Oryzias latipes: one gene and its partner. The protein of the gene in region 1 interacts with the protein of each later gene in a pairwise test. Links are inferred from orthologs where the notes say so. Each region holds a gene or a part of one and is shown in the gene's direction. Other genes may lie near its edges.

Region 1 (4,530 bases):
AAAGTTATTTTACTTTGCAATATCATAGAGAACAAAAAGGACCTTAAATGTACTCACAGCTAAAAAGTGACATTCATTTTCTTGGATTTCCTAATGATTACATTAATGATTCATCGTCTAGTTTTCTTCTGTGTAAAAACAAAAATCCATGTAAAGGCCTGAAAAGGTGAATCAGAGGAGAGCTGGGTCTCCACTCGTTTCTTCTTGTGAGTCCGTTTCCCGTCAGATCCGGAGAGATTCTTTCCGATCTCCTGACTTGTGCTGAATCTGTTCTGCCTGCAAGTCTCCCTGTTGAGGAATCAAAACCCCAGCAGCGGTTGTGTGACGGTTTGGGGTTTATTTAGGATGAAATCCTCCTCTTTCCTGTTCATTCACATGAAAAAGTCCTTATTTGTATGAAAAAGTTTGTGATGTTTAGTTAAATAATATTGTGACGCCGGCAGCTTTGAGGACGCCGACACTCGCAGTGTTCACTCGAGCCAACGGAAGGATCATGTAACGTCAAGCTCCGGGTCTCAGAATGAACGTATGACATGCAGGAGAATGTCAAGACGTGTGGGGGAAACGTGGGTTTCAATTTAAGCTCTGAAGGGACCCTCATTCAGGTCAAACGTCTGCATCTTTAGGTGGGAATTATTTAGTCTGAAATCTGGCAGAAACTTGTGACAAAACAGGTTATTGTCACTTATATGGGTCATTAAAAACTGAATATGTGATCATTTGGAACAAAATTAACAACCCAGAATCATTTAGGGCTCATTTAATCATAATCAAGGTAGGATTTCTGTGTTTAATTTGTGGCGAGACTCTTAACTTAGGTGTATATTTACCCTTTAGAATTGACTTGAACTGAATATAAAGTTTTTGTGGTTTTGATGACATGTTAAATAAAGATTCAAAGAATCGTTGTGTCCCAGAGAGATAATTGTCCTATACCCAACATACAGAATAAGAACAGTTTTGTGTCAAGAATGATTGGAAATGTAATGATTAGATTCTAGTTTAAGTATAAATTTAAAGAAAAACAATAAGTTTGAACTTTAAGCAGTGTTTAAGACCACTATAGTCTCCTTTTCTTCGTTTGATTTGGACGCTAAAGCTGTAAGTGTTTCCTCTGGGTGCTGTTGTAACGACCAAATGGTTCATAGAGTTTATGTAAAGCTCCAGAGAAAACGTTTTTTCAGAGACAGTCGGATGATGAATCAGAGACAAATTAGGATCAAGTGAATTAGAAAATGTATATATGACCTCAAAACTGTTTTAAACTCAAAAGTACACATTCTCCACATTGTTTGTTGAAATCTTAGAACATAAAATTGTAAATTCGCAGAAAAAAAAATATTGTAAGAAATATAGAGAAATAATAAAACAAGTAAGTTCAGCATTTGAAAAAAAAAAACTAAATTATTTTGTTTTATTTCCTTTTTTGGTCTTAAAATTGTTTCAATTCAGACTTTTCAAGTTTTCACTGCTGAGCCTATTTTGACGTAGGGGCGGGGCTTTGAACTATTTTTATTTCAAATTTGAAATGTCTGTTTTTCAAATGTCCAATCTGTATTTTTAATTTTCTCAAAGCTGATCCTAATTTGACCGCAGAAGAGTCAAAGTCACGTTGCTGCGCGTGCGTGTTGCCCACAAAAGCTGTGGAAAATTACTTTCCGTTGGTCGTTGGTGTGTTTGGAGGGGGTTTGCCGCCCTCTGGCGGTGCGCAGGCGCAGCTGCGCCCCGTAGTCCCCTCCCCTTTCGCCGCTTGTGTTTATGTGTATGTGGAACGCGGGCGAAGCGGAACTCACTCGAAAAAAAGAAAAAGAAAAGAAAACAGCGCTTCTTATCAAACTCTGCCACCAACTTCCACCGGCCTGGCGCGCTTTGTATGTACCCCAGAATTTACTCGAACTCACTTACTACCTGCGCGGTGTAACTCGGTGCTCTTATCGGGGTATTTGGGCGACTTTTACCCGTGGCAGTGTTACGGTCGCAGCAACGATCCGCTAGGAGAACGCGACATCGTCATTTAAAATGGCGCCAAAGCTTAAGTTGAGGCAGGGGAGCGCAGGTAAAACATGCCTCCCTGCTGCTATGCCGCGCCGCCTCCGTCATTTCTAATAACTTGTGTCGCTCATGCATTCACGCTGGCCGTGGAGTAGGTCTTTGACCTTTAACCTTTGTCCTAAAGCTCGTGGTGAGTTGGTTTTAAACCAGGAGAGTGTGCGATGCTAGCATCGGTGGCTAATGCTAAACACAAATCGCTGTCACTGACGTTAGCCTGCTGCTAAAAAACAGGTCAAAGCAGTCTTGTTCTTTTAAGCAATGGCTTAGCTCTATTTCCTAAAAGGTTTTTTATGAATATACGCAGAGCCAATTTAACAAATTTATGCATTTATTGATAGTTTATAACCTTAAAACTAAAATGCGCGGTGAGTGGGTGGGCCCGCGGTTAAGGCATTAGCATGAAGCTAATTCGAGCTAGAAGCTGCTTTAAAGCCAGGACGTGTGCGTTAAATTACAACCATCCTCTATATATAGAATAACCCTGTGTGTTTTTAACGGTTTGCAGGGCTAACAACGCTACATGTTGCTACATTTATCACGTTCTGCTGCTGTTGTTGGCTCTCCAACGGAGCGTCACTCGAACTGTCCAGAACCTCGCGGTGCTAGCCGACCCCGAAACCTGCCGGGGCGGGTTCCTGGGGCTCGCGCGCGGCAGCCCGGTAACGGCTGGTTTCGTAACTCGGCGGGTCGCTGCTCTGTTTGTGTCGCATCTTGTGGAAAGTTGTTGTCATCGCCCGCACACGTCCCTGACGCTGCGTCATCACCTAGGAAACGGGAGCAGGCCTTTCCTGCATGCGTGTAGCCCGTTTGCCTCTGCGCGCACTGAAGCGGGACTGGTGTTGTTTGTAAGAAAGTCTGGAGCTGTTGGGATGTCAGCTTCTGGTGTCGCTGCATCAGCTGTTACCACCATGATTCTGCAGGTTTGGGGACTTTTGCAGAGGTTTTGTGTTGATGGAACCGACCTGGAACTCCAACCACCACATTATTCCTTGTTGTTTGTTTGTGTGGGTGTGGGTGTGTGTTGTTAGTCGGGAGTTTCTAACCATTTTAGTCTGACTGAAATGAGTTGTATTTCATTTGTTTGTAACAGTTTCTCTGTCTGGCTGTTTTCTGAAGTGTTGATAGACGAAGATGAAGAGGAGCCGGCACCTCAGCACCAGTGATGACTCAGACAATGGCAGTAAGTGCTGAGTCACCTTTAGACTTAATGTTTAGACGCCATCCAGATGCAGCGACTCTTCCTCTCACTCACAAGAATATCCAAAGTTGACATTTAAATCAAGTTTGAAAGGTTTCTTGGAGTTAGACGATAGTCTGTTGTCACTTTTTTGTCCTGAAAATGTTTCTTTTTTTTAAATGCAAAGTGAGTTTGTAATTCGTGGTCAGGTTTCACATAGAGGAAAACCGAGGTCAACCGGTTAAGACCTTCTGTTTGTCAGAAGTAAATGATGGTGTTTGGACTGTCTTATCTTTATGGACGCAGTCAAACAAACAGAAACAACTGGTAGGGACTGATAGCAGCCTCCTCTGCTTCCATTTTCTGGGATTTTGCAGCAGAAAACCAAACCTTTCAGAGGTTTAAGAAACTCTCCTTCCCACTTTCTGGTCTGATTGTTTTTGTGAGTTGTTTGTCTGAGCAGCAGGACTAAACTCTGCCATGTTTGTCCCTCAGGTAGCTCCACCTGCTGGTCTCATTCGTCGCAGCACCGGAGGGGCGGCGGGCAGAAACCCTCTGAGGTACGTCAGCATTTCTTGACGGCTGCGTTGTGTATTTGCAAGCCGTGGGCTGCCATTGTGTGATCTGTGAAGACTCTCCTTCATCCAGGATGGTTCCATGCCAAGAAAGAGGGTCATCTGGATGTGGTTTTTCACTCCAAAGCAGCTTTTTCTGCTTTGAATTTGTTAATAAGTAAAAACTGGAGCACATCAAGTGTCTTTGAGCAGACGGTGTAAGGAAAGGCTGACTATCTAAGTTCCAGAGCTTAGCATGTGTGGATGGAAACTTCTCTTATCTTCTGAACAGCGTGTGGACTTTGTTCCTGCAAGTCACACAATCTATCACTGCCTTCCTATTGGTGGCTTTTTGCTGCTGTTGCAATTTTTTAAATCCTGTTTTTTACATTTCTGGCCTTCAGTTAAACATTTATATGGAACAACTAATAGTTGTTAGGTCATTTTTTATGATATTTGTCCAATTTTTCCAAAGTTTACAGTGAGAACGGGTGTTGTGTTTTAGCTAGTGGGGGCAGACGGGCTGTAACTGAGCGCGTTCGCTTGTGCGGCAGGTTTTTAGGACGGACCTGATCACCGCCATGAAATTACACGACTCCCATCCGCTCAACCCAGAGGACTACTTTGTGCTCGCCGACCCGTGGAGGCAGGAGTGGGAGAAGGGAGTCCAGGTTCCTGTCAGTCCGCAGTCCATCCCACAGCCCGTCACCAGGTACCACGCACCCCGTTGTCTCCACGAGTCCCCGT
Region 2 (4,189 bases), about 13 Mb from region 1:
GTTATTTTGTGTATGTGGAAAATGTTTCACATCTTTGAGTTCATACCATAAAAAATGGGAGCAACAACAAAAGTTTTGCGTTTATATTTTTGGTCAGTGTAGTTCAATCAATACAACCGTTTGTACTTAAGATTTCTCACAACAGTATTTAGCAACTGGTAAAGGTAATTATTATACTTTGAAATTGCCACCAGATAGAGATGCTTAATTAAAATAAACAGTGAGAAAATGTTACAAGAGGAAACGTTCTCATTTTCCAAATAAGTTAAAAAAAATGTAAAAAAATAACCTGATAGACTGAAGGGTCAATACACAACGAGTCTTTAAGTCCCACTCCATTTATCTTTTGATGTATATTAAAAGTGGTCTTTTAATTGCGATGCTGGCATTTTTAGTCAAAATCAAAAAACCTGTGTCGTTTTCTAGGACATAGTTTCTGCAGAGCGACAGTAGTTTATAAGACATTTCCCCTCTGAGTTGTGGGCGAGACTGTTAACAGTGTCAGCCTACCAACACTTTCCCATGATCCCTTTGTTTCTGCTCTCTTCCCACTAGCTGACAGCCACTCAAACCCCCAACCTAACATTGCAGGTGCAACAAAATTGATGATTAATATTGTAGCTTGGACAATAAAATAAAGACGTACATGGATCTATTTGTCTGCAAGTGGATGCGTGGGAAAGGAGCGGGGCAGGGAGCTTGTGGTTCGCCGACTGTAGCACTAACGTCACTGCTACAGACATTTTCAAGCAGTATTTTTTTGTTCCTGATTCACAGCAATTTGGAAAAAGGAATACTCAGAAATGCATTTTTAACCTTAATTTTTATATAGCCCTCCGTCATGAGAAAAAGGCCACAAGAACATGTAAAAAAAAAAACTAAAAAATAACTTTTCATTGGAGTGAGTCTTCATGCTTTATAGAAAGAAGCTGTTTGTGAGTCTCAGAGTCTGTGGTTGTACTGTGGTCTTATTAAGGCAGGTTGTGTAGATTTAAGCAACCAGAGAGAAGTCAGTCATATTTGGAACAGTCAGCGTCACTGCCTGGAGGGCAAAATATGTTCATGCAATTTTCAGCAACGCTACTTGTAGAAACTGCTTTACTATCTAATAAATCAAAGTTTAAATATAATAATAAAATCATTAGACAGACTTGGACAGAAACATAAATCATAAGACTTTTTCTATTCCAGGTTCATCAACCATTTTTCTGTATTTCACTGATTTAGTTGGAATCACTCTTTAGTTTAAAGCTTCATGCTGTAAAATGTGACACATCTCTTGTCAAGTATGATCAATTTGTAGCCTTTTTTTTAATGTTTTGTCTGTCCAGGATCCAGCATGGCTTTTTATACAATAAGCCAATTTTTTTAAACAAAGTTTAGTTTCAAGAGCTTAACTTGTCAATGACCTTAACTGCATGCCCCCCCCCCCCCCCCCACACACACACACACACACACTCTGTCTGTCTGTCTGTCTGCAGGTGCAAGACATGTGGTGAATACATCTACAAGGGTAAGAAGTTTAATGCACGTAAAGAGACTGTGCAAAATGAGCTGTACATGGGACTGCCAATCTTCCGTTTCTACATCAAGTGCACTCGCTGTCTTGCTGAAATCACATTTAAGGTGAGCCTAAATGATTAATTTTCTGAGGGAAAATGTAAAGCTTTGCTTTAGTCTTAAGGTTTTATATATTCTGGAATGCCTCGTGTGGGAATTGTAGACTGACCCTGAGAACACAGACTACGCCATGGAGCACGGTGCCACACGAAACTTCCAAGCGGAAAAACTTATTGAAGAAGAAGAAAAAAGGATCCAACAGGAGAGGGACGATGAGGAGCTGAACAATCCTATGAAGGTCTGTGGCTTTTGTTTTTTATTCCACTCTATATTCTTAAAATTCCCAAGAATGTTGAACGTTAAAAAAGTGAGTTTGATCGCCTGGCAGGTGTTGGAGAATCGGACCAAAGATTCCAAGATGGAGATGGAGGTCATGGAGAACCTGCAGGAGCTGAAAGACTTGAATCAAAGACAGGCCCAAGTGGACTTTGAGGGAATGATTGACAAATACAGAGAGATTGAAAAGAGAGAAAAGGAAAGGCAGAAAGAAGAGGACGAGCGTGAGACAAAGTGAGCCGGTCCCATTGAACACGGTCTACTTTGTGTGCAGGTAAAAAGAAAAAAACAATAAGTTGTCTTTTTACAGAGAGATGTTGGAGCGGGCTCTCGTGAAAAGACTCAGAGACTCGGACTCTGATTCAGAGAAAGAAGAGGAAAGCAGAAGCCGTTTGAAGAAGTCCAGTTCAGACAAGCCGACTGACATCCTCACCTCTGACAAACAACCTGAAACTGAGGTTTGCCAAATAATTTAAATTCATGTTTTTTTTGCTGGATTAAAAGGGTTCTGATTGGTTAAATCTGGAATTTTCCAAACCTTGCATTCTATTTATCTTTTTAAATTTTATTTAAAATGTGTTGATTTGTAGATTAGATCGAACATGTTCATAACCAAATTGATATATGCAGATTATGGGGACAGCTCTGTCTTCTTCTGTTTTCTCACCTTCCACTTGATACCAATGAAACACTTTCCGCTATTGCACAAAAACGTGTAGGTTAATGCTTCAATTTTGTCTTGCTTTTTATTGACCGGGATTAGCCTTTTAGATGTTATTTCTTCCAGACTGATTTGAGCTGTACTCTGTAGGGATCCTCAGCTTCAGGAGTGAAAAAGGTTAAGGTCGAAAGCTGGGAGATGAGTGTCGGGACTCTGGGAGGCAAAGGGTCACTGAGTTCCCTGGTGGTGCGAAAGAAACCGGCAGACTCCATAAAGAAAGCTGCCACAGATGAGGCAAACGCTGCTCCCACCTCACACACAGGTAAAACATTGATGACATCCTACTCTGCTGATTGGTCTAAAAAGGCAAAGTCATGGAATTTCTGCTTTTTGGTTTCAGATTCAAAAACGAATGTCACTCAAAATGGATCTTCATCTCTGAGCCTGTTGGGGGCATATTCTGGCAGTGACAGCAGCGATGGAGAATGAAGGAAGCCATCTGAAATACCAACAATGAAAAGAACATACAGATCTTTATGTACAGTTTTACTGACAGTAAAAAAACAACCAATAAAAGTAAGTTAACTAGAGGCAACTTAAGAACAGATCTGTTGTCACAGAATTCAATTAAGAAATAGTTTCCTGTTTGAAAATTTAGAAAACAAACCTATCCTTTTATTAAAAGTGGTTATTCAAATATGTTTTTTTTCTATGTCTACCCAGTGCTGTATATTTTAAATGCTTACGTTATTCCTATTTGTTTTTTTGTTTTGTTTTTTTTCTTCAAACTTGGTTGTGACACCCCAAATCTGTTAGATCCAATAGAAGTGAATAAATGAGCTGCTTTATGTAACATAAACATTACTTTTGTGATGTTTTAGAGTTCGACATTTTGGTGTGACAGATATCTTTTTAAGAATCGGAGCATCTTAATGTATTTTAAGTACAATTTTGAGACTTTATTTTAAAAATTTATATCATATTTTTGCTTAAGCCTTTCTATAATACTTTGGTTATAAAAGTTTCTTTAATTTGAATATTTAAAATGATGTAAATTGTTCCGTGACTTAAGCAAATACAAAAATGGTAAAAACACCCTTTTGTCTTTCTTTTTCTAATACTGACCTAATATGATTATATCTTATTACATCATATGTCAATATTTTCATTCTTGGTGATTTTTACTGGGTTTTGTTTGAAGCTCGTGTTGAATTCAAACGGTTTAATGAAGTTGGATTTGTTATTTATATGAAACTTGGTTGTAATAAAGTGTATTATTAGAAAATTCAAAAAAGGTTTATAAATAGATATTAGTTTTAAATTAGCTAAAGATAATTAACAAATTTTAGCAGCTCTCACATCCGTGCATGTTTCTTATAGTGTGTTATCTCCTCCTGGCCAGAAGGTGGCGGTAGTGATCTTTAGGAGCAACCTTCCAATAAACCAAAATGAAATAAACCGATATGTTGGGAAGAACACGTCGGGAAATGGTAGTTGGTGGGTTAACTTAATTTGAAGATAATACCTATGTTCTTTTCTGAAGTTTGGCTGCGTTAATCAGAAATTTATAATAGCAACGGGGATTCATAAATGCAAAGAAACTGGGTGAGTTCAACTGCAGTTGTTGGCGTT

Evidence for each region.
Region 2: the proteins of jade1 (region 1) and ccdc94 interact in a two-hybrid assay, tested with the Homo sapiens proteins (2 studies listed by BioGRID and IntAct). The two-hybrid records come from large-scale screens. The link is inferred for Oryzias latipes from reciprocal best matches to the Homo sapiens genes JADE1 and YJU2.

What each region holds. Positions count from the first base shown.
Region 1 is NC_019880.2:21,642,586-21,647,115, forward strand, and holds the start of jade1 (protein Jade-1), read left to right. Parts: upstream 1-1,679; 5' UTR 1,680-1,871; intron 1,872-1,884; exon of another isoform or gene 1,885-2,056; intron 2,057-2,062; exon of another isoform or gene 2,063-2,182; intron 2,183-2,264; exon of another isoform or gene 2,265-2,283; intron 2,284-2,317; exon of another isoform or gene 2,318-2,972; intron 2,973-3,142; 5' UTR 3,143-3,183; coding exon 3,184-3,232; intron 3,233-3,724; coding exon 3,725-3,789; intron 3,790-4,337; coding exon 4,338-4,495; intron 4,496-4,530.
Region 2 is NC_019880.2:9,137,684-9,141,872, reverse strand, and holds the end of ccdc94 (coiled-coil domain-containing protein 94), read left to right. Parts: intron 1-1,481; coding exon 1,482-1,626; intron 1,627-1,723; coding exon 1,724-1,858; intron 1,859-1,948; coding exon 1,949-2,130; intron 2,131-2,206; coding exon 2,207-2,354; intron 2,355-2,707; coding exon 2,708-2,879; intron 2,880-2,957; coding exon 2,958-3,046; 3' UTR 3,047-3,652; downstream 3,653-4,189.